Arabidopsis thaliana: one gene and its partners. The protein of the gene in region 1 binds, or shares a complex with, the protein of each later gene. Each region holds a gene or a part of one and is shown on either strand. Other genes may lie near its edges.

Region 1 (8,382 bases):
GCCCAGCTTTCTGAGTTGACAAGAAGATATGATTTACTATCTATTTTCATTTGTAGTGCCTCAGCTGCACGTTGAACGTCTTTCAGAATCTCTCCTAGGCTTAGGCTTAGCTTCTCCATTTTCTCTACTTTTTCTCCAAACAAACGTAATACTTTTGCTCCTTCATTACCAACTCTCCGAAGCTCGTTACTGAAAACATGTCTTTTCTCTGGAGATGCCTGCCATAACATTTCACCAAACAATAATTGAACCATTATATCTAACATAGTAACTTACAAGCCAAGTACATCAACTTTTTATAATGCTGAAAACCTGATATATATAAAGAGCTAAATTTATTTTAGAAAACTAAATATGAGGACCTAAAAGCTATTTTATCTCATTAAGTACCTTTTCATTAATATGTTTTTGAAAAGGGCCTACAATTACAACTTTTAGATTTCTTCACACATGTATGCTATAACAGTTATGACACCTATAACAAAACGGATTAGACATTTTTTCCCCCGGTTATTCAATTCATGTGCCATCATCTTTTCTTTTCTTCACATGCTAGACATTTATGACGATACACACTCAACGAGTTATGTATACTCTTCTATTAATCATTCACCTTAGTAGCAAAATGGAGCAGAGTAATAACTAATAACACAAAACAAATTGTTTAATGAATTAGTTTAACAAGGAACCTGTATTTCTGAAAGAATGCATCCATGCATTGCCATGACTGTGAACGCGCAATGCCTCACTGCACCACTAAGTTTGACATAGTTTTTCCAAGGATGGTTAAACGTTTTGTAAGGTCCATGTGGAGGCTCCCATATAGCGAAATCAAGCTGCGAAAACAGAGCTCTTTTAATGCTATAGGTATCACCATAATCCGGATTTTAAAGATGTGTCTCCACGATGCGTAAAACATACCAAAGAATCTTCTTGGCTTGTAGATTGAACAGCGGATCTGTACCCGCTGTATAATGGATCATCTGAAGCTTGGTACGTGAGTATCTTCGACGGTATTCTCTCGTATTCGACACATTGCAAGTAACCATTAACACATCCTAAGGATAAATACAAAAACCTGAAATAAGGGACATTGAAATAATAAGCTAACCATGTTATAACAGATTATGTTTTATCTAACCTTCTAGGGAATTTGCAACATTCTTGAAGTTTTTAGCCACCAGTTTATGGAGATCTTCTCCGGCCCATATCGGAAATAAAAATACATTCACAAGCAAACAAATGGTTGCACCAAGACCAATAAGCAAAATCCTGTAATAAGCAGTGCTTAAGAAGTCTCTTGAGTTGTTCCCGGAAACAAGAACGATACAATATGTCAACTTGAACACTCTGAATGCGTATTCGTATGGTTTCATGGACGCGTATAGTTTCAAATAACTAGCACCAAAACCTGACATAGACAAAGAAAAATTAAATGTTAGTATCCTCATTGTGTGTAATGAAATTGTGGCGATATAAATGTTGCAAACCTGCAAGGAATATGCAGATTACGATGATGACTTCTTCAAACTCTCCTGCTAAAACAGAGAGCTGCGCGACGCCGAGAGCAAGTCCTCCAGCTAACATTGTGCCTAATGCTCTATTGAATCCTTTAACCAAAGTTGCTCCTGAAAATTGAACATAAGAGTGACTCAATAAGTATGAGAATAATTGATCTGAAAATGTAAATAAAACAGTAAAATGCAAAGTCAATAAGTAAATCTGAACAGAGAAAATAGAAAAAATCTTTGAATCCACTTATACAAAAAGATGGATTATACAATCAACCAATTGATGTCTTTAGTTCCATCAAATGGATTCCATAAACAGAAAACTCGAAAACAGTGAAAAATATTCAATCCAAGTAACAAACAAGCAAAGAAAGTATAAGAGTTGGTCTGAAAATGTGAATAATACAGTAAAATGTAACTCAATAAGTAAATCCGAACCCATCAAAATGAAAGATGGAATCCAAAAAAAGGAACAGTCTTAGGATTAAAAGAATCTTTACTAGATTTGCTTCACATGCGCAAGTGTCTTGAGTTCAAGATTCCAACAAAACATAAAAACAAAACTCAAAGATCCAATCAAAGGATCATAAACTAGGCTATGAGTTAAGAATCAATACCGACGTAATACTCGAAAATGAGAACGACGGTGAGAATCGCCCAAACTGCGAATTTACTAGCATCTTGAAGCGGCTCTTTGAGAAAGATGACGAAAGAACAGAGTGCCAAAGCAATTCCCATCTTGATGGAGAAGTAAAGTTTCCTACGATCAGAATGTCCCAGCGCGTACAACTTCGCCGGAGCCTCGTAGAGAGCCCTCCACGAGCAACACCGGAACTTGGAGTCACGGCTATCAGCGACGTCGCTTGACTGCCAGAGAAGCTTCTCTGTGTTTTGCTCCGGTACTGATCCCATTTTACCTCCCATTAGAAATGATTCTGACAATTCTACAGAACCTGAGAGATTCTTGTCGTCCTTACGAATAGAAAGATGTTTATTTATCTATTTATCAAGATTTGTTTTGTACTACGCAATTAATGCATGCCTTCGATTCATCATCTCTAAATAATCAAGTTTTTTTAAAAAATTTACAATTTGGTGCATCTACATTACAAATTTTAATAATTGTCCGATTTATAACTTTGATGTTTTTGGTTGAAATCTAATCATTAACATATTAACCACCAAAAGTGTCCAAATTTTTTGAAACAGATGGAATTTAAAACGTGAGAATTTACATTTGTGGACCAGTAATGCATAAATGGACCGGTAAGGCCGTAATATGATTTTTTGTGACTATTAGTTATTCAGTAAAAAAATTAAAAATAGAATTATATTATTTCTTAATTTCTGTTCAATGTGTTAATGTTTCTTAAACTGTAGACTTTACCTTTTTGGCTCAGCTACATAATATTTTTTCATAGTTACCCGATTTAGTAAGTTTTTTTGTTGAATCTAAACATCAACATAATTCATTGTGACCAGTAAAAGTGTCGCAGAAATAACAACAGATATCTATGGATAAACAACCTGAGAATTAACTATAGTGGACGTGTGTAATGTAAATGGACCAATAATGTGACGGTGAACAAATTTACACACATATCTTAAAGTCTCTTCAAGTTCAAGACTCTAATAATTGAATTACAGACCCACAGTTTTGGAGAAGTTGCAAGTATCAAAGAGACGACAAGTTTCATGGTCGTGACTTGTGTGAATGTGACATTTTGAAACTCCTACTTACTACCGCATCGCATCTTACTACTTCCTAACTATGCTCAAAAGCCAAGCCCTACCCTACACAGTGTACCCACCCTCACATGAGATTTTTCCTACTTTTTTTTGAGAAACAACAATTATTTATGTATTTTGGGTGAGTTTGATTGTTTTATCCAATTATTGTATGCTGAAAATAAAAAATATCGTGTGCACATTATATAATAACTACGATGTAAGAAGTATTTCAAACTTTTACTATATATACTCATCGAATGATGTTCATGAATGACCATCATGGTGTCTTTCTCCTTAAAGGCTTTCTCATCTCATCTATCCAGTGCTACTTCAAGTCCAAAGAAAGACTCTTCTTTGGCCTCAGCAAACCTGTGAAAATAAAGAAGACGATTTTTTAAGATGAATCATGTGACATAATGTAAAAAGAATCATGTGACATATATAATGTAAAGGCCACTTTCTCAACAATTATTTGTTTTTGATAAATAAATAAAACAAATTGAGGACATCTTGCAGCGTACAATATCGATAATTATATTTTGTTAAAAATTGTGTTTTGATTAATACAAAAATTTATTTCACACAAAAAAATTTATTGACTTTGATCAAATCATGAACACTAAACAAAGATGAGGTTTTTAATTTTTGTATAAATACTTGTGGCTGTCAAATGTCATTCGAATTAAATATGATATGATTAATACTTATATGTTGAGATCTTTGAATTAGTCCCTCGAAAATACTTGAAACAGAGTCTGTATTTTTAAAAGTCTACTTCTCAAAGCTTCAGGTTTGTATTCATGGGCTTATAATAAACTCTGTATTCTTGACCCATTTAATGATGGGCCAAGTCAACAAAGCCCATAAATTTGATAGTCAAACTACTTTGAAACTCCACCCAAAAATGTGACCATATCTTCCTTATCCATATTCTCACAAAATCTCCATTGTTCTCTGAGAAAACACAAAAATGATGTCATCAATGGCACTCTCTTCTACTTCCCTCTGCTCTTCTTTCATCTCTCAACATCCAAAACTCTCCATCACTGCTTCTCCTCCATTGTTCCATACCCAAACAACCAAACCCATCTCTGTAAAACGGAAAATCATAACTCTAGCAGCTCCAGAGACACTCACCGCTGAAACAGTCACCGGAATTGATACTTCCGACAACACTCCACAACAAACAATAAAGGTAAAAACAACATATTCTTCTTCATCTTCTTGTCTCTTGTGTTACAAAACCCACAAATCTTTGTTGTTTGTGTTAGGTGGTGAAGCCAGATGAGAAATCAAGAGTGGTACTCAAGTTTGTGTGGATGGAGAAGAACATAGGATTAGGATTGGACCAACATGTACCTGGACATGGCACAATCCCACTTAGTCCTTACTTCTTCTGGCCTAGGAAAGATGCTTGGGAAGAGCTTAAGTCTACTCTTGAAGCTAAACCATGGATCTCTCAGAAGAAGATGATCATTCTTCTAAACCAAGCCACTGATATCATCAATCTCTGGCAACAAAGTGGCGGCAATTTAACTTCTCAATAATCTCTTTTTTGATTTCTGCATTTCAAGAATTCACTTTGTCTATGATTATTATTGCTATTGAGAGTTTTTTGTTTATCTAAACAATATCCAATCACATTCGACATAAAAGATTCATTTTATTGGAAAGAGAAAATGATAATAAAAGCAAACATCAAGCAACTCTGAGTTATTGTTTCCTTGAAGGACATATCAAACGCTTGATGGTTGAGATTTTGCAGAGAAGAGCTTCACCATAGGATTTAGAGACTCTCCGGTCACCGGAATATGTACACGTTAGTGTCACTTTCTTCTCCAACACACTCACCAATATTGAATATGTTTCTGCTCCAAGAAAACAGAGGAAACAAGCGTGAGAGGAAAGAACAAAAAAGTGTCTCATCTCGGAAGTAAGTAAGCTATATACTCACCGATCATCCTCGCCATTATGTCGGCGACTTTCTCTTGGCAGTCACTACATCTGATGTCTGCTGATAGAACAATCTCCTGAATCTGATAACACACAAGATCAATTAAAAGAATCCACAGAGTTGAATCATTCTAAGACAAAAGTGTTAAGAGAGTAACGAACAAGTGGCATGGATAACGATGCGACAGAAGCGAGACTGGTTTCACTTGTTCTTGAAAGCTTGCTTCTTAGTGATGGTTCAAGTTCCTCCTCGACGATTTGAGACAGAGTAGCCATGACACTCTCGTTGCACAGAGAAGATAGATAAAACAGGAAATGAAGAATCCTATAGAAACAGTCTCTTGTACAAGGAAAGATAAGTAAAACAAAAATCTAGAATCCTAAAGAAACCACCAAACCAAGAGTGGGAAACGAAGAGTGTCGCTATCCGAAAAGGATGAGTTAGCAAAACTAGTGACAGAGGAAGCCCATCTTTGCTTTTGCTTTAATCTTTGGAGAAAACTAAGTTTAGAGACTCAAGAGACATGTTAACACACAATAGAGATATAATATATGCTTTGGATCCATGACTTAGTGTCCATTAATCTGAGTAAGAAAGTCAAGTTCTTTTGGCTCCTCTTTATTTCCTCTACATTGTTTGAAAAAGATGCTTCACTCACCAAAATGCAACCCCACCAAAATCATTCAAGTTGGAGGATTCTGACTTGGTCTTAAACGAATTTAAATAGCTTACCTTTTTCACCTTACCCTACCTTTTGGTAAGCCAATCATCTATAGCACAACAAGAGATGATAATAGGTAAAAGTTTAAAATGGTGTAAGATAAGACACTCAACTTTCATCACTGTTAGTGGTTTATAACAAGCGCTCTTACTATGGATAACAAAACTTGTTGGACGATTCCAGAAAACATCAATTGTTACCAGCTAGTTACAACTAACAACCAAAGAGCATCAATTTTATTTGTTGGTCCCCTTTGGAATGCTGCACAAAACAAAACCCTATGGGCACATGGACATGGACATACTTAACTTACGTGCCATTAAGATAATCAAGTGTCCTCAACTTCGAGTATCAAATTATGCAGAAGCTATTCATAACATTCAACAAGTAAGAAAGGTACGTATCATATAGACAATGAAGTTGAGATCAAGGTAACAAGATAATTTTATTTAATGTTACATAGGTTACATGAAAAGAAAGATCCCACCAGACCAAAAAGAAAACGAATCATCTCTATGCTAAAGAGAGTAAAATGATAACTTAATTCTAAGAGAAAAACACTGATTAAGCCTAAAACACTAGCGAGGTAATGTTATTATTACCTACTTCTACTGCATCCAAAATTTTGCTGATTGAATTAAAGCACTATGCCCTACTGTCACAACATAAGTACACAAACGAATTTGGATGCCATTACGAGCTAATCCTATAATCCATCCCAAGAAAGCTTGCGAGTTACCAGTAATCTTAAAACCCAAAATCGCATTGAGCAGATGCCCATCAGGGTAATATGTACCTCACAAGAAGAAAAGTAACTAGGTCCAAGCTGATGATCATCTCGACATTAATAGACCTGTCAAATGCTGTCCATCTGAAGAGCCAAAAGTATCTTCCATGAACTTACAGTTCTCACAATCCAAAGATCTTTCACTAGAGAAACCATCATTCAAGCTAGGATCGTGTGGACAGCAACTGACAACTCGATTCCGCTTCCTCGATGATTTTTTCCACTTTAAGTCAGAAGTGACTAGGACATCTTTTAGAAGATCTGGAATTGGTCGCTTAGGTAGTGACTTTTTGGTTGTAGCTACTGGAAGAGAGATGGTGCGTTTAGCCTCAGTCTTTGGTGACATCCTACCATTACAAACACCAACATCAGACGACTTCTCATCATGTTTCACCTCCATCTCTTTTTTCTTCGTCAAAGATAGGACAGAACTCACAATATCAGATCTTGATCTTATGTTTAGCCACTCATCATCCAACCATTCCCGAGATTGTCTGAGGTCATTACGATGGAAAGCAGACATTTTCTTTTCGCCTGAGAGAAAACAGCCAAAACAACAATAATTAGTCACACAAAATAGTATATAGATAGATCTTCAACTGCAATAAAAATTTGCATTCAGAGGTGTCTTAACTCACCTGGCAAGTAAACTTCAAATTTCTCTTCAGAAACTTCCTGCACCACGATCCCTTCCCACCATCCATCACACCACCACACATCCACAGGCATACCAACCCCGATGACACATACATCATTTTCTTTGCTGGGCTTCAGCATTGGTCTTACTACTTTCCGTCCTTTGATTCTAAGATCCCCCAGATGATCACCAGCAGCAACCCGAGATGTCAAAATCCATTCCTGCAACAAAAACATGTTATCAAACTGGGCAGTAGGTACGAAACCAAAGCAAGGGTTTTAAAATGTGTACCTCTAGCTTTTTAGATTCATCGTCTGCATCCTGAATATCTTGGTACTGGACCTTAACCTTATCTTTGTGTTTCTTTAATACCAGAGCCTTAAACCAACAACCTCTGATGCCACTATCTTCAGAAAGAACTTCAATAAGTGAACCCTTTTTAATGTGATGGGAAGAACCATCTTCGTCACCCTTGAATATAGAAGCATCTGTAACAGCCAAAACAGAATCTGGACTAGATTTGCAGTCACCTTTCATGTCACCTGCGTATGATACATTCAAAGTACCAACAGGACTAGGACGGCGTCTTTTCCTTGATCTAATCCCAACACAACCAACCAATGGAGCTTTTAATCCTGGGTCAGTACCAGGGGCTTGAGCACCTTCAAATGATTTTAAAATAGATACATTCAAGTATCTAAGCATTTCTTGTCTCCAGTAACCTTCTAGTTGTGTAATGTCATACGGCTTTAAACCATCATCTCCATATAATTTCTGGCAGAAGAAAGCTACTGTCTGAACATGCATCGGCACCTTAAGAAATTTCTCATAATGCTGAGGACTAAGGACAGTAGCCAAGTAATCTATGCACTCAATACTGATATCTTGCCGATTAAGAGAAAAAAATATCTCTCTGTCATTATCATCATCAGATAAAACAGAACCAACCTCCTCAGTTTTGTGAAACCATCGTACCACAACCATCTTCTTGCCTTTAGAATCCTCATAAAGGTCTTCTATATATGCAACAAGTCTCTTATG
Region 2 (6,573 bases), on another chromosome or scaffold:
AAGATCTTAAGAATAGTTTCATGTTGATCTAGGAGTAACTTGGTACAAAGTCAGGATTCTTTGGACAACTAGTTAGATGAACTAAGATAGCTTATCTTCCATTGATTGCAATCTCACATCAACTTCTGTGTCTCAACCTGTTGCTTCATATGATGTTAAAACAGATGTGTTCTTCTCGGGGTGAGCTGTGGTGGGAACATAGCAGACTATGTAGCTCGGAAAGCAGTGGAAGCTGGGAAACTTCTAGAACCGGTGAAAGTTGTTGCACAGGTTCTAATGTACCCCTTTTTCATTGGAAACAACCCAACACAGTCCGAAATAAAGCTGGCAAACTCTTACTTCTACGATAAGCCTGTCTCTGTTCTAGCCTGGAAACTCTTCTTACCAGAGAAAGAGTTCGACTTTGACCACCCGGCAGCAAACCCACTTGCCCATAACCGCAGTGGACCACCTCTGAAGCTAATGCCTCCAACACTTACAGTAGTAGCTGAGCATGACTGGATGAGAGACCGAGCCATTGCTTATTCAGAAGAGCTTAGAAAGGTAAACGTAGATTCTCCAGTTTTAGAATACAAAGACGCAGTTCATGAGTTTGCTACACTTGATATGCTTCTCAAGACTCCTCAGGCACAGGCCTGCGCCGAAGATATTGCCATTTGGGTCAAGAAATACATTTCACTCCGCGGCCATGAGTTCTCTTACTGAAAATTTTTACCCTGTTATTATTCATTTTCTTCCTTTTTTTTGTGTGATAGCAAGATTTTCTGGGTAGGATTAGAGACAATCCAAGATCGAGTCTTTTGGCAAAAGCTATAAAATTTTATTTTTTGGTTACTTATGTATTCATATGTACGTATTCTGAATAAACCATTTTTGGTTCGACCAAATTTTCAAGTTTGTTCTTGGTTTGTCATCATTCTTGAATGCTGAAATCTTCAACTTCTTTTGTAACTTTATAATGAATGATGAAGATACGGAATAATAATAGCTAAAAAGCCGAAGATAAACTGGAAAGGGCTCAGTTCGAACAAAGGTTTGGGAATTACAAATCACATTTAAACAGAGATGACTAGACAAACTAAAAAGAGTATTACAGAAGAAGAAGGAGATCATGAAGATGATTACTTGGAAACTTTCTTCTTCCCTGCAATAGCAATTTTCTTGCCTTTAAGAGTCCTGCAGTTGTTCTTGGTTCTCTGTCCCCGACATGGCAGCCCTTGGATGTGCCTTACCCCACGGTAACACTGGATCTCCTTCAACCTCTTGATTGCAAGAGCATTGAACCTCCTCTGCACAACATCCACAACACAAATCAATAATTCATTCACAAAGGCCTAAGAACCAAATCAAAACAAGAGGAAACCCAAACTAAAGCAATGAAAACACCAAATAGATAGCAGCCTAAGTTCTTCTCCAATCTTCAAGAAACTGCTCGAGAATGGACTGACAGAAACTGAAACTATGATGCACATTACTCATGTCCTAAAGTGTGTAAATGTAAGGGAAAGTGTATTACCAGATCACCCTCAATCATGTACTTGGAGACTTCATCACGAAGAATGATGAGTTCTTCCTCAGCCATGTCTTTAGTAATCTTGTTCTCCATCTGAAGATCAACAAGAATCTGACGAGCCCTAGTTCGACCAATCCCATGAATGTACTGAAGAGAGTACTCAATTCTCTTATTAGCCGGAATCTCCACTCCACCAACACGAGCACATCTGATGCTTAGACTCTGCTTCTGCATTTCATTACAAAAAAAAAAAAAAACTTTAAAAACACAGAGACAAATTCCCCCAAAAATTGATGGAGTGTTCTATAACCACCCCTAACCCAAAAATTGACGAACAAGAATGAAGTAACACATAAAAAAACATGAAGTCAAGCTCGATAAATTACAACATCATACGCAAGAGAGAGTCCAAGAGAAATGATTACATTGGGAGTGTTTGAAGCTGGGAGGGCAAGAGTGTTGCGAGAGAGAGGATTGGATTTTGCCCAATTGCAAATGAGTGAGAGCGAGTGCGCTACGGGCATCGCAACCATCTGCGCCATTGTTATGTTCTCTTCCTAGGAATTTCGGATTCTGGGAAACTAATTCAGAGGTGACGAAGAAGAAGAAGAAGATGAGCTGAACGGATAAGGCAAACGTCGAATCCAAACGCTTCTCTTGTTTTTGCTCCGTCTCTACTTACTCTATTCAATTAATTGCTTACAAAACTGGCAAAATAAATACTTGTTGGGCTTTGTTTTTTGTTGAGATAGGCTCGCTATTGTATAACACGGCCCAACTAGTGGACTATAACAAAAATGCAAAAACCGAGTGGACTATAATAAAGTGATACAACTATAAAATGAAAAAAAAAATGATTTACAGATATTTTCTTAACAACTAAGATGAATGGTGTGATCAATGACACACATTTGATCAGAAGACGAAAGGCATGAGCCTTGGCTCCATGTGGGCACGTAGCTATTGAGGATAGAGTCATGATAGAAAAAGATTGTATAAAAAAAATGGTAAGTGTATAGATGAAAAGTCAACGGATGAGAATGAGTCTTGTTAACTATTTATCGAGATGGTCGTTCACTTCGTTATTGTCACATGTTGTTGTATTTTAAGGTGTTTGGGGATTTTTTCCATCTTGCATATATATCTGATTCATTGGAGTTGTACACTTGTACTCATGGTTTTGTTGGCAAGTTTACTACAATATTTCGAGTGTTTTCATGATGTTTATTGTTTCGTACTTTACACATGAAACTAGTTTAAAGCTTGTCGTTCTTCTAATAAGGATATCACTCATTGATTTTGACACCAACGTCTGAATAGTGAATACACCATTATTTGTTGAGGCGTACCCATTACTGTCACGTAAGGCCTGCATTTCATTATTTTGTTTAGGCTGACCCAATTTATTTTATATATTTACTTCGGATATTTATCTATTCTATAACCTTAAGATGAATTAGTTGATTTTAAAAAGAAAGTCCACCTTTTCTCAAACGGGCCATTATAATGCCTTGATTAGAAGATTTGGTTCGAAAAAGAGGAAAATATGATTAAGATAATAAAAAAAACATCAAGAGATAAATGTTTTATTATGATAGGAACACAACATCACAATCTTTGAAGAATTAACAAAAAAAGAAGGAATACATGTGAAAATTAAAATAAAATCTCATAGAGAGTAAAACATATTCTGAAGATGAATGGCAACACATCTCATCAGAAGACGAAAGACATAGCAGCGACCAATGCGGTGGCGATGAGCTGAGGGTAGGCGGAGAAAGTGGCGGCACTTGGAGACGGAGCCTTAGCCATGGGTGGCATTGGAGCCATAGCCGGACCATGGTGGTGGGTTCCGTTGTGCGACTCAGCAGTCATGACCATCACGGCCAAGACAATGCAGATGAAGGCGAAGCGGATCAAAGAACTTCTTGGTGCCATTTGAATGTTCTTCTCCTTTTTCTTCTTATTTGGTTTCTTTCTTTGTTGTTCTCTGTATGATCTATCAACAAAGGGGGTCGAATTTATAGAGAGAGAGAGGGGTCCTATAAAAAATGTTTAGTGGGTTAAAAGTCAACGCATGTGAATGAGTCATGATGTTGAGACGACCTAAATTCGTTATAATTTACATGTTGTTTACTTGAATATTTAAAAAAATGGAAAAAAGGACAGAGTGATCATGGTTATGTGTTTGAATTTGTTAGTGGACACCCATTTATATGTTCGTGAATGTTCTGCCGTTCTGGAACAGCTGTTACATAAGAGGGACGTTTCTTGACTAAGCCAAATTGACCCGGTTTGATTAGGGATTGATTCCAATCCATGTTCTGTTGCCGGAGACCAAAGAAAATGGTGTCTTTTGTGAGGCCGATCAGGGGCTTTGGCTCTTGATGAAGTTCAAAAAGAATAGAAATGTTAGCGTTGGTGATAGTTTGATATTTCCAATAAAGCATTCCAACTGTACCAACAAGTTTTAAAGATCAAACATCCGAAAGTACTATACAATCATTCTTGAAACTTGAAAGCAAACCAGTAAAACTTAAAAAGTAACACCATGATTCTTTTAACTAAATTTAGCAAATGTTATTATTAATATGATTATTTATCTGTTTGAAAAAACTGTAATTCTAGTAAACAAACAAATAATAAAAAGAAAATTATTTGATAAAACGGTAGATACAGTATGTTTGCAAAGAAAAAATTAGTTAACGAATGGAAAGGAGAAACTGATATGCTAAACGAATATTCTACGTAACGCTATCCATAACTACAGTTACAATTTTTAGGCCCAATTAGTGACTATATGAAGATTAAGTTGGACCTAAAGAGACAGTGCTTTTTAGTGGGCCTAAATATGATTCTGGTCCCTTGCATTAATAATTTTTCTTACACATCGTAGGCTCCGTATATACTCTTTTTCCCAACGGTCTCTCACGTATTATTTATTGTTTTTGTGATTTTGTCGAGGTCCCTCTCATATACAACAATACTCTTCTATATTACATTTTTCTAAATTTTAGTTCAGTTCAGTGCACCAAAACAAAAACGAATATTTGGTTAGCTGCAATTTTATTTTCTTGATGTACCACACAAAAGTTAAATATATTGAAGTATAGTAAGTTTGTTGACTACCTATAATGTAAGCTATACGGAAAAGAAAGATGTATGTATATATATATACATACACGTCGACTATAAATCAAATATCTAATTTCTTTTAACGTCTAATAAGTAATAATCGATCGGTTACCTAGGTTTCTATAGTACTTTAATGGAAATTGTAATGTTTACATTATCTGTTTATCACATTACATTATATATGAGTCATGGCGGGTTTTTTTTTCTTTGGGTGTTAATTAAGAGTGTGGCATGAAGGGTTAAATATTCAATTAAGGAAAAACTAATGCAATTTGGTTATATAATTTGTTTTCCTAACAGATTTCTAAATTTAGGTTGGTAATTAAACATTATAATAGACTAGGACATATAGCCTAATGTCTTTCAGAATTGATCTATAATTAGATAGATTTCTAATATTTGATCCCTATTTGGATATATGCACATACCTTCAAGTACATGGCGAATATTCCTCCATGCATTAACGCGAAACCCCACTCCGTATTTGGAGTATTTTAATGCAAATTGTTCCTAACCTTCATTTCTTCTAAGCAACTTAATTAGTTCAATATGAGAACCTTATTTCAAAATACTTTAATAAACAAACTAAGAAATCGATATGATTAAACCCTGAAATCTATATAAAATAGATATTCTTGCTATTAAGTATTTACACATATACAGCAGTTAACATATTTGGAACAAAATACAATAGTAAACATATTTGGAGGGAAAATGGTTCCAACAAGTGTAGTTTTCCAATGACATCTAATATCAATCACTTTGCTTATAAATATATTTTTTCACTTACATTTATAATAAATAAGGGGTTTGTCTGATAATTAATATGTATGTAAATTTTCTAACTTTGATAAGTACATAACTCTTTTAAATATCATCACGATAAGAATACGTGAAGATAATGTTTTGGACATTTCAAGGAAATTAAAATCTTATAAATCTTGTATAATGATGTCAAAATTAATAATCTTATGTACATACTAATCGTCGTTAATAGTATACCATTGACGATGCTAGTTCAGTTCTTTTGGCATTCAGCTGACTAGATGAGTTTTTGTTTATTTAACTGAAAATACTTAAATATAATAGCATGACTAGATGAATTCAAACTTGACTTTCTTTATTAAGCAAGTTGCCTAATCATGACGGTGTAGTGCAAACTAACAAATTATGACGTAAAAAGTCGAGTTCCTCAAAATGTTTTTAACAAGAACAAATTATTTACAAATAGAATAATGAAAAAGAGAAGATGCCTTGATGACAGAATAAGCACAAGGCTTTGAAGAGGGGACCGATGAATCCAAACAAATCTCAAATCGTTTCTTTTAACCAAACTTTTAATCAATCAATGAAATTCCTTCAATTACCAATTAAAGTAATATCATATATCATATGGTAATCATAAGCTTAAAATAACAATTTTGCAATAAAGCAAACAAATAATTAATCATTATGGTTCAGTTTTTTAACTCATGAAAGTCATGTTGCCACCATTATCTACGATAAAATAATTAGTCTGTCTTTATAGAAACAACAAAAGATAATTATGCAATGTTCATATCATCATATGCATATATGTACTTAGTTGATTGCATTTAATTTATCTACACCTATTAAATTAAGTATGGCTTTAGTGCAAACTTTGATAGGTAATGAATCATAAGCTCAAAAGAAGTTTGTCCATAATTATTGTAATACAACCTCACACACTTCTCACCAAATCTTTCTTTAATTGTCTCCGCAATCATTATTTACTGCTTCACTTATTACTAGTGTTTTGCTTTAAATTTGGATTTATTTGTCTTTTAGCCTGTAAGTGACCTGTCAAAGGAGAGAATCTTTGCCCTTCCCAACTCACCTCTTATTATTTATAAGTAATGCCCATTACTTGATCCAACGCTCTCTTGTTTATATTTTTGACTAAC
Region 3 (5,394 bases), on another chromosome or scaffold:
CCAAGTGTTACCAATGTAAACCAGCTGCAGCCGCCGCACATGCCCCGGTCTCCGCTTTACACCACCGTCTTTGAGAGATCGAGTCAGGGTTCTTCTAATGCGTTTGTGGAGGGTTCTTAAAATTATTTGTTCTTCTTTTGTGTTTTGTGTTCGTATACGTGAAGGGAGTAAAAGTCACGAAAATAGTGTACTTTTTACACACCCCTTTAAATGCGTGCTAAGCTCTTAATTATTTTTTTCTCTTTTGGGGTTTTGTATTTTTGTTTTCACTCCTTAGTTTTTTTTTTAAAATTGAATAGTCGATAATATGTAGTGTGTGATTTCTTAATTTGGTATTGTTAAAACAATAGGCTAAGAAAATGTATCGTCTTCTCTCCTTTTACTTGTCTTTAGTAACAAAAAACAATTCTTATCTTATACATTTATCCTAATTAGACTTATATAAACTATTTTACCATGAACAATATCTTCCGATACTAGATAATTCTTTAGGATCCTATTAGATCTTTTAATTATACAGTTTTGATCATAGCACAGCGACAATACTACTAAGTTTACATTAAAATTTTGAAATAACACTTTAATTTATTTGGAAAATTTGATTTAACGGCAGGGTGTGTTTAAAAATTAAATAGGGGAACATGGACAAGTTGGACCGACGGAGCCGGTCATATATCCTATGGGCCACATGGGTGTGGGGAGAGGACGCACGTGGATACTTCGTCCGAGTCACGTGCCATTATTTACTTGACACTCTTCATCTTCTCTCTGATCAAAAGAATGGATCAGAGGACCGTTCCTGTCCCTCATATTAAATATGGCATGTGTTCGTTCCATTCGTACTCAATCGTTTACCCCTTATCATATGCTCTGCTTTCACATGTACTTTGCCCCCAAAGATTATAACTATATATGTAAAATTATTAACTAATATTCTCGTTTGAATCCAGAGTCCGATTCTTGTACTTTCCATCTGACTTTTTTTTTGTTGGGGGTCAAAATAAAAAAGAACTTTGCAAAAATGTTTCTTCTAATAGCATAAAATCGTTAAAGAGAAAAGAAGAAGTGAATGTGAGTCATATTATGCGATATGGAGTAGGACCCTTGGTAACGTTTGGTTAGTGACCCTTGGTAACGAGTGGGTTCAAATTGTCAATAAACTATTATGTGGCGAGTGGTGAATCGTCTTTAATTTGTTCTGATTTAGGCCATGTGAGTTTTGCAACTACATTTGAGGCTTTTCTTCTTCTTTATATTAGACTTTTTTTTTTTTGTAAAGTGGACTATCTGGATACAAAAAAAATCTCGGCTAACATGGATAAATCTAAGATGGTTGTGTTTGTGAAAAGAAAATTGTTTTATAGTAAAATACGGTATGCAATAAAAGTATTTCATAAAATATCTCATACCAATTATTCAAGCATGTCTTTTCATAACATTTGACTGGCATCTTTCTCTCCTTTGGCCTTAAATCAATTTTTTGTCATCTTGGATTTCTTTTGAGGTATATAGAGCTGTTTGAAAATTTTGATGGCTGAAAATCACTTCACATCTCGATTTCTATATCATCCACTTAACTCGAAGTCAGGAGTAGCCTGAGACGATTAGGTTAAGTTAAGTGGTTATATGAATTTGTAACAACATTTAGATCTTTGTTTCCAATCATCAACCAAGTTTGAGAGACCTTAAAAACGTATATACGCACACCACAAAGTGATATGAATATGCTAAATTGTTTCTGTAGACACACAAGACCGTTGAAACGTCCAGATTAATCGCTTACTCCAGTCGAGAATACTTCATAAACATGGGACTAGAATTGTACCAACACATAATATTTCTTCATACGAAAGAGAACATAGTCTTAGCATGTTCAGGATTTAGAATACATTGAAGAAACACACATCTTCGTTCATGGCCTTAAGGTACACGAGGCCTAGGAAAGGTCTCATACTCTTGTTGGGTTTGAACTTGAGAAGGTATTTGAGGTACACGAGGCTTAGGGAACAAGAGCTTCAGGCGAAAAGCATCCATCCCATTCAAGTAATAGTGGTATAGCCGTTTGGCTCTTATAAACCCGAGTCGCCCATATAGTGCTAATGCTCCTTTGTTACTCACTTCTGCCTCCAGAGTTACCTTCAGCCATACATCTTTACATTAATTAGATTGCATAACCAGACAACCATACTCTCATGTTGTAATCAGGCTTGATTATGAGGAACTTGAAGAGCAAATGCCAATCACGAGGTTCTTTTTCCAATCTATTTACTACTGAGATTACAGTTAAGAGATCACACATACAACAGAAAATGATTCGTCGAATACGCAATTAGTAAGTGGGAGACAGGGATTTCTTATTTTATATTACTATCAGTTACATTCCAATGCGTGTGACTATAAAGAGTCATGGACTACATACAAGACTTATACAACATATGTATACTAAGTGAGAGACTGGGATTTTGATTTCCACTACAAAATTAGTAACTAAACGAATATCGAAAAGTTCCAACTCTTAGGAGTATGATTAACTACTTTTATACGTGGAACTAAACTTACACACACAGTTAGCTAAACAATCAAAAGCAATAGGTATACTTGCAATGATTAAAGGCAGCTACATCACCTCAGCTATGAAATTCTATTCTAGTAGATAAAAAGGAGGCACTATTTCAGGACATGTAATGGACTTATAACCTTCCGGAAAAGGTGGTTCATAAGGTCTTATCTACATTTATACTACCAGGAAAGGATATCACTCTAGTGCTACCAAATATCTAAGTTCTCCAAAGTGGGAATAAAGAGAGAAGTGAGAATGCAAGAACAGCATACCTCTTCACAGCCTGATTCCATCATCGCTTTTATCGCTCTTGTGACAAGCTCTGAGGCTGTAAAAAAACAATGACAAGTCAGCACACAAAATTATCGAACCTTAAGAGAGGCATGTATTTGCAGTAGATCAAACACTACTCCCACAGTCAAAATCTGATTCTGTAAGAAGTTAGGAAGCACTAGCTCAAGTATTACCTATGCCTCGGCCACGATATGGTTTAATCACAACCAACATAGCGATGTACCCTCTGAAAGTCTGTCGATGATCCCCCATCTTACAGACTATGGTTCCTACGCATTTACCTTTGTGAAAGGCCTATTAAAAGAAACAAAACAAATGCTACTCATAAATCCATCAAAACATAAGTATCATGAGGGTAAAGCAACGATAATCGAAAGCTGAGTGTCAAAATACCAGGAAGCATAGCTGCGGCCAGAGGTAGACGAAGTACCGGTAAGTAAAGATGGAGTAAGGTTCACTAAGTTCTTGGTCAACAAGAGACATAATCAATGGCAGATGATGCTCACCAGCATAACTCGTGTACTCAATCTCACCCTCATCGAATTCTTCTTTATCTTCCATCTCTTTCTCCATTGCAAGAAGTGATCAAGATCCCGAATTGTATACTTACAAAGAGAAATATGAACTTCTGATCAGTTGTTTATACATTGATGATCTTGTTCCTATAGGAAGTGATGAAACACATAATGCAAAGTTAGAGAATATAAATCATTTTCTGTGAATCGAAGTTGAGTGATTGTTTCAGAATTGAAAGTTCAATGTTTTCATAACAAACTCAGATTGCTCAAAGCCTCAAATAAACAGCTGAAGCAGAATCTATAACACTCTACTAAAGCAAACGACTTTGGCTAAAGCGAGCTATAGAAGATTTGAGAGTTCAGAAAAAAGAGAGCTTACCGATGTTATGTGACAATAGGATTAGTAAAGAATCCTGTGAAGCATAAGAATGAAAAAAACACACACAGATTTTAAATACCAAGTAATGAGAGATTTAGAAAGAGATGTGATTATAAAAATTGAAACTTTTTAGAAACCCAAGATCAATGAGATGATAAGAATACTTACCAAAAGTTTGAGCTTTGTGAAATTCGAAGATCAAAAGTTACGATCTGGGTGATATCTGAAGAAAAAAGCTCCGAAGAGAAGACGAAGAAGAACAAGAACAAGAACAAGAACAAGAACAAGGTCGATTACACACGTGACAAGCATGTGTAGGGTTTAGATATATTTGGGCTTTAAAATAAGCCCAATTGAAATTAAAGCCCAAATATGAAAAGATAATTAAAAGCCTATCCTAAAATCGTTTTTCTACTCTCACTGCCTTATCTTCTTCTGGATCTTCTTCTTCGAACAAATTCGAAAACAGCACACGGCGATGGCGTCGCTTATACTCGGAGCTCCTCCGCGAGTCACCGTCGCATTACCTTCCTCACGGTTATCATCTTCTCACTCTGAAACTGCCGGTGTCTCTCTCTCTTGCTTCACTCATCAATTCTCTCTCTCCACTTCCTCATCCAGCTCAATTCCACTCGGTAATCTCCCTCTCTTATCTAACTCTCTCTTAATTCGTCAATGGCGTAACTTTTCCGGTGTTCGCAGTGTACTGTGGCAGAGGTGACCGGAAAACAGCTAAAGGAAAGCGTTTCAATCACTCTTTTGGGAATGTAAGTAATCAAATTTCTCTTTCCGATTTCGTAATTTTACTTTGCAAATTCGCAATTTTGGTTTTGAATTTGGGGTTTATGTAAGCAGGCGAGGCCAAGAAACAAGAGCAAAGGAAGAGGACCGGAGAGAGTACCGGTTCCTCCAGCACCACCGAGGAAAGATAAGTTTGAGAACGACGAGAAGATCAAAATCGATATCGACGAGTCTCTCTTCTCTAATTAGAAATATGAGATTCTTCACTTGTTGTCTCTCACTGTAATTTTAATTTGTTTTTTGAAAAGCTTTGATGCTACGACTCTTTTGTTGTTAAAAACATCTCCAAAGTTCTCATCTTTTTATGAAAAGTTTGCTTCTTTATGAATCATTGAGTCTTTTACATTGAAAAAGTAAAGCAAACTAAGAACGAGAATCTATATACTTAGATAGATCAGATGGATGAATCATCTGTCTCTGTTTGGATCTTTAAATGTGAGAGTTTGTGATGTTTCCGCAGACTGTGCAGTGAGTGGAGACGAGAGTGTGCATTACACTTCCTTCTTCAATCTTAATCTTCCTTGTGACTTTGTTCCACAGATGTATCATGTAACTCCCTTTGTTCATGTCCTGTACTGTCTTCTCTACCCATTTTGCTTCTCTTGTGGTTGCAGGTTTCTTGAAAAGCTTTTGGATTTTGATCCAGTTTACTGGATAGAAAGCATCGGGAGAAAAGATTGTGAGATTGTTGTATCCAGGTTTGTTTCCTAATCTCTTGATAACTCTAGAGACTAGGTAAGGGCTGTTGTATCCCCATTTGTTTCCGTCGAAAGTTGTGGCATACTCTTGCAAGAATTCTCGCATTAGCGGATGGTAGATGTCAAAGACCATCACTGCGTTGT

The links.
Region 2: PSRP3/1 (region 1) and EMB3137 share a complex: the UniProt entries of both Arabidopsis thaliana proteins name them as parts of the 30S ribosomal subunit.
Region 3: PSRP3/1 (region 1) and PSRP4 share a complex: the UniProt entries of both Arabidopsis thaliana proteins name them as parts of the 30S ribosomal subunit.

What each region holds. Positions count from the first base shown.
Region 1 is NC_003070.9:25,754,000-25,762,381, reverse strand, and holds PSRP3/1 (Ribosomal protein PSRP-3/Ycf65), read left to right. Parts: upstream 1-3,970; 5' UTR 3,971-4,212; coding exon 4,213-4,437; intron 4,438-4,513; coding exon 4,514-4,789; 3' UTR 4,790-4,955; downstream 4,956-8,382. Other genes in the region: AT1G68600 (aluminum activated malate transporter family protein), read right to left, coding at 1-218, 690-836, 922-1,058, 1,142-1,411, 1,491-1,628, 2,129-2,435; AT1G68585 (uncharacterized protein), read right to left, coding at 4,956-5,110, 5,197-5,278, 5,358-5,471; AT1G68580 (Agenet and bromo-adjacent homology (BAH) domain-containing protein), read right to left, coding at 6,751-7,238, 7,343-7,562, 7,633-8,382. UniProt on the Arabidopsis thaliana protein: Component of the chloroplast ribosome (chloro-ribosome), a dedicated translation machinery responsible for the synthesis of chloroplast genome-encoded proteins, including proteins of the transcription and translation machinery and components of the photosynthetic apparatus.
Region 2 is NC_003076.8:4,616,718-4,623,290, forward strand, and holds EMB3137 (Ribosomal protein S13/S18 family), read right to left. Parts: upstream 2,265-6,573; 5' UTR 2,056-2,264; coding exon 1,939-2,055; intron 1,742-1,938; coding exon 1,517-1,741; coding exon of another isoform or gene 1,472-1,516; exon of another isoform or gene 1,290-1,471; coding exon 1,122-1,289; 3' UTR 706-1,121; downstream 1-705. Other genes in the region: CXE16 (carboxyesterase 16), read left to right, coding at 165-705; AT5G14330 (uncharacterized protein), read right to left, coding at 3,230-3,503, 3,722-3,834. UniProt on the Arabidopsis thaliana protein: Located at the top of the head of the 30S subunit, it contacts several helices of the 16S rRNA.
Region 3 is NC_003071.7:15,976,719-15,982,112, forward strand, and holds PSRP4 (plastid-specific ribosomal protein 4), read left to right. Parts: upstream 1-4,129; 5' UTR 4,130-4,229; coding exon 4,230-4,386; intron 4,387-4,453; coding exon 4,454-4,518; intron 4,519-4,606; coding exon 4,607-4,741; 3' UTR 4,742-4,894; downstream 4,895-5,394. Other genes in the region: AUX1 (Transmembrane amino acid transporter family protein), read left to right, coding at 1-74; ATMAK3 (Acyl-CoA N-acyltransferases (NAT) superfamily protein), read right to left, coding at 1,921-2,136, 2,833-2,888, 3,028-3,148, 3,248-3,427; AT2G38150 (alpha 1,4-glycosyltransferase family protein), read right to left, coding at 4,982-5,394.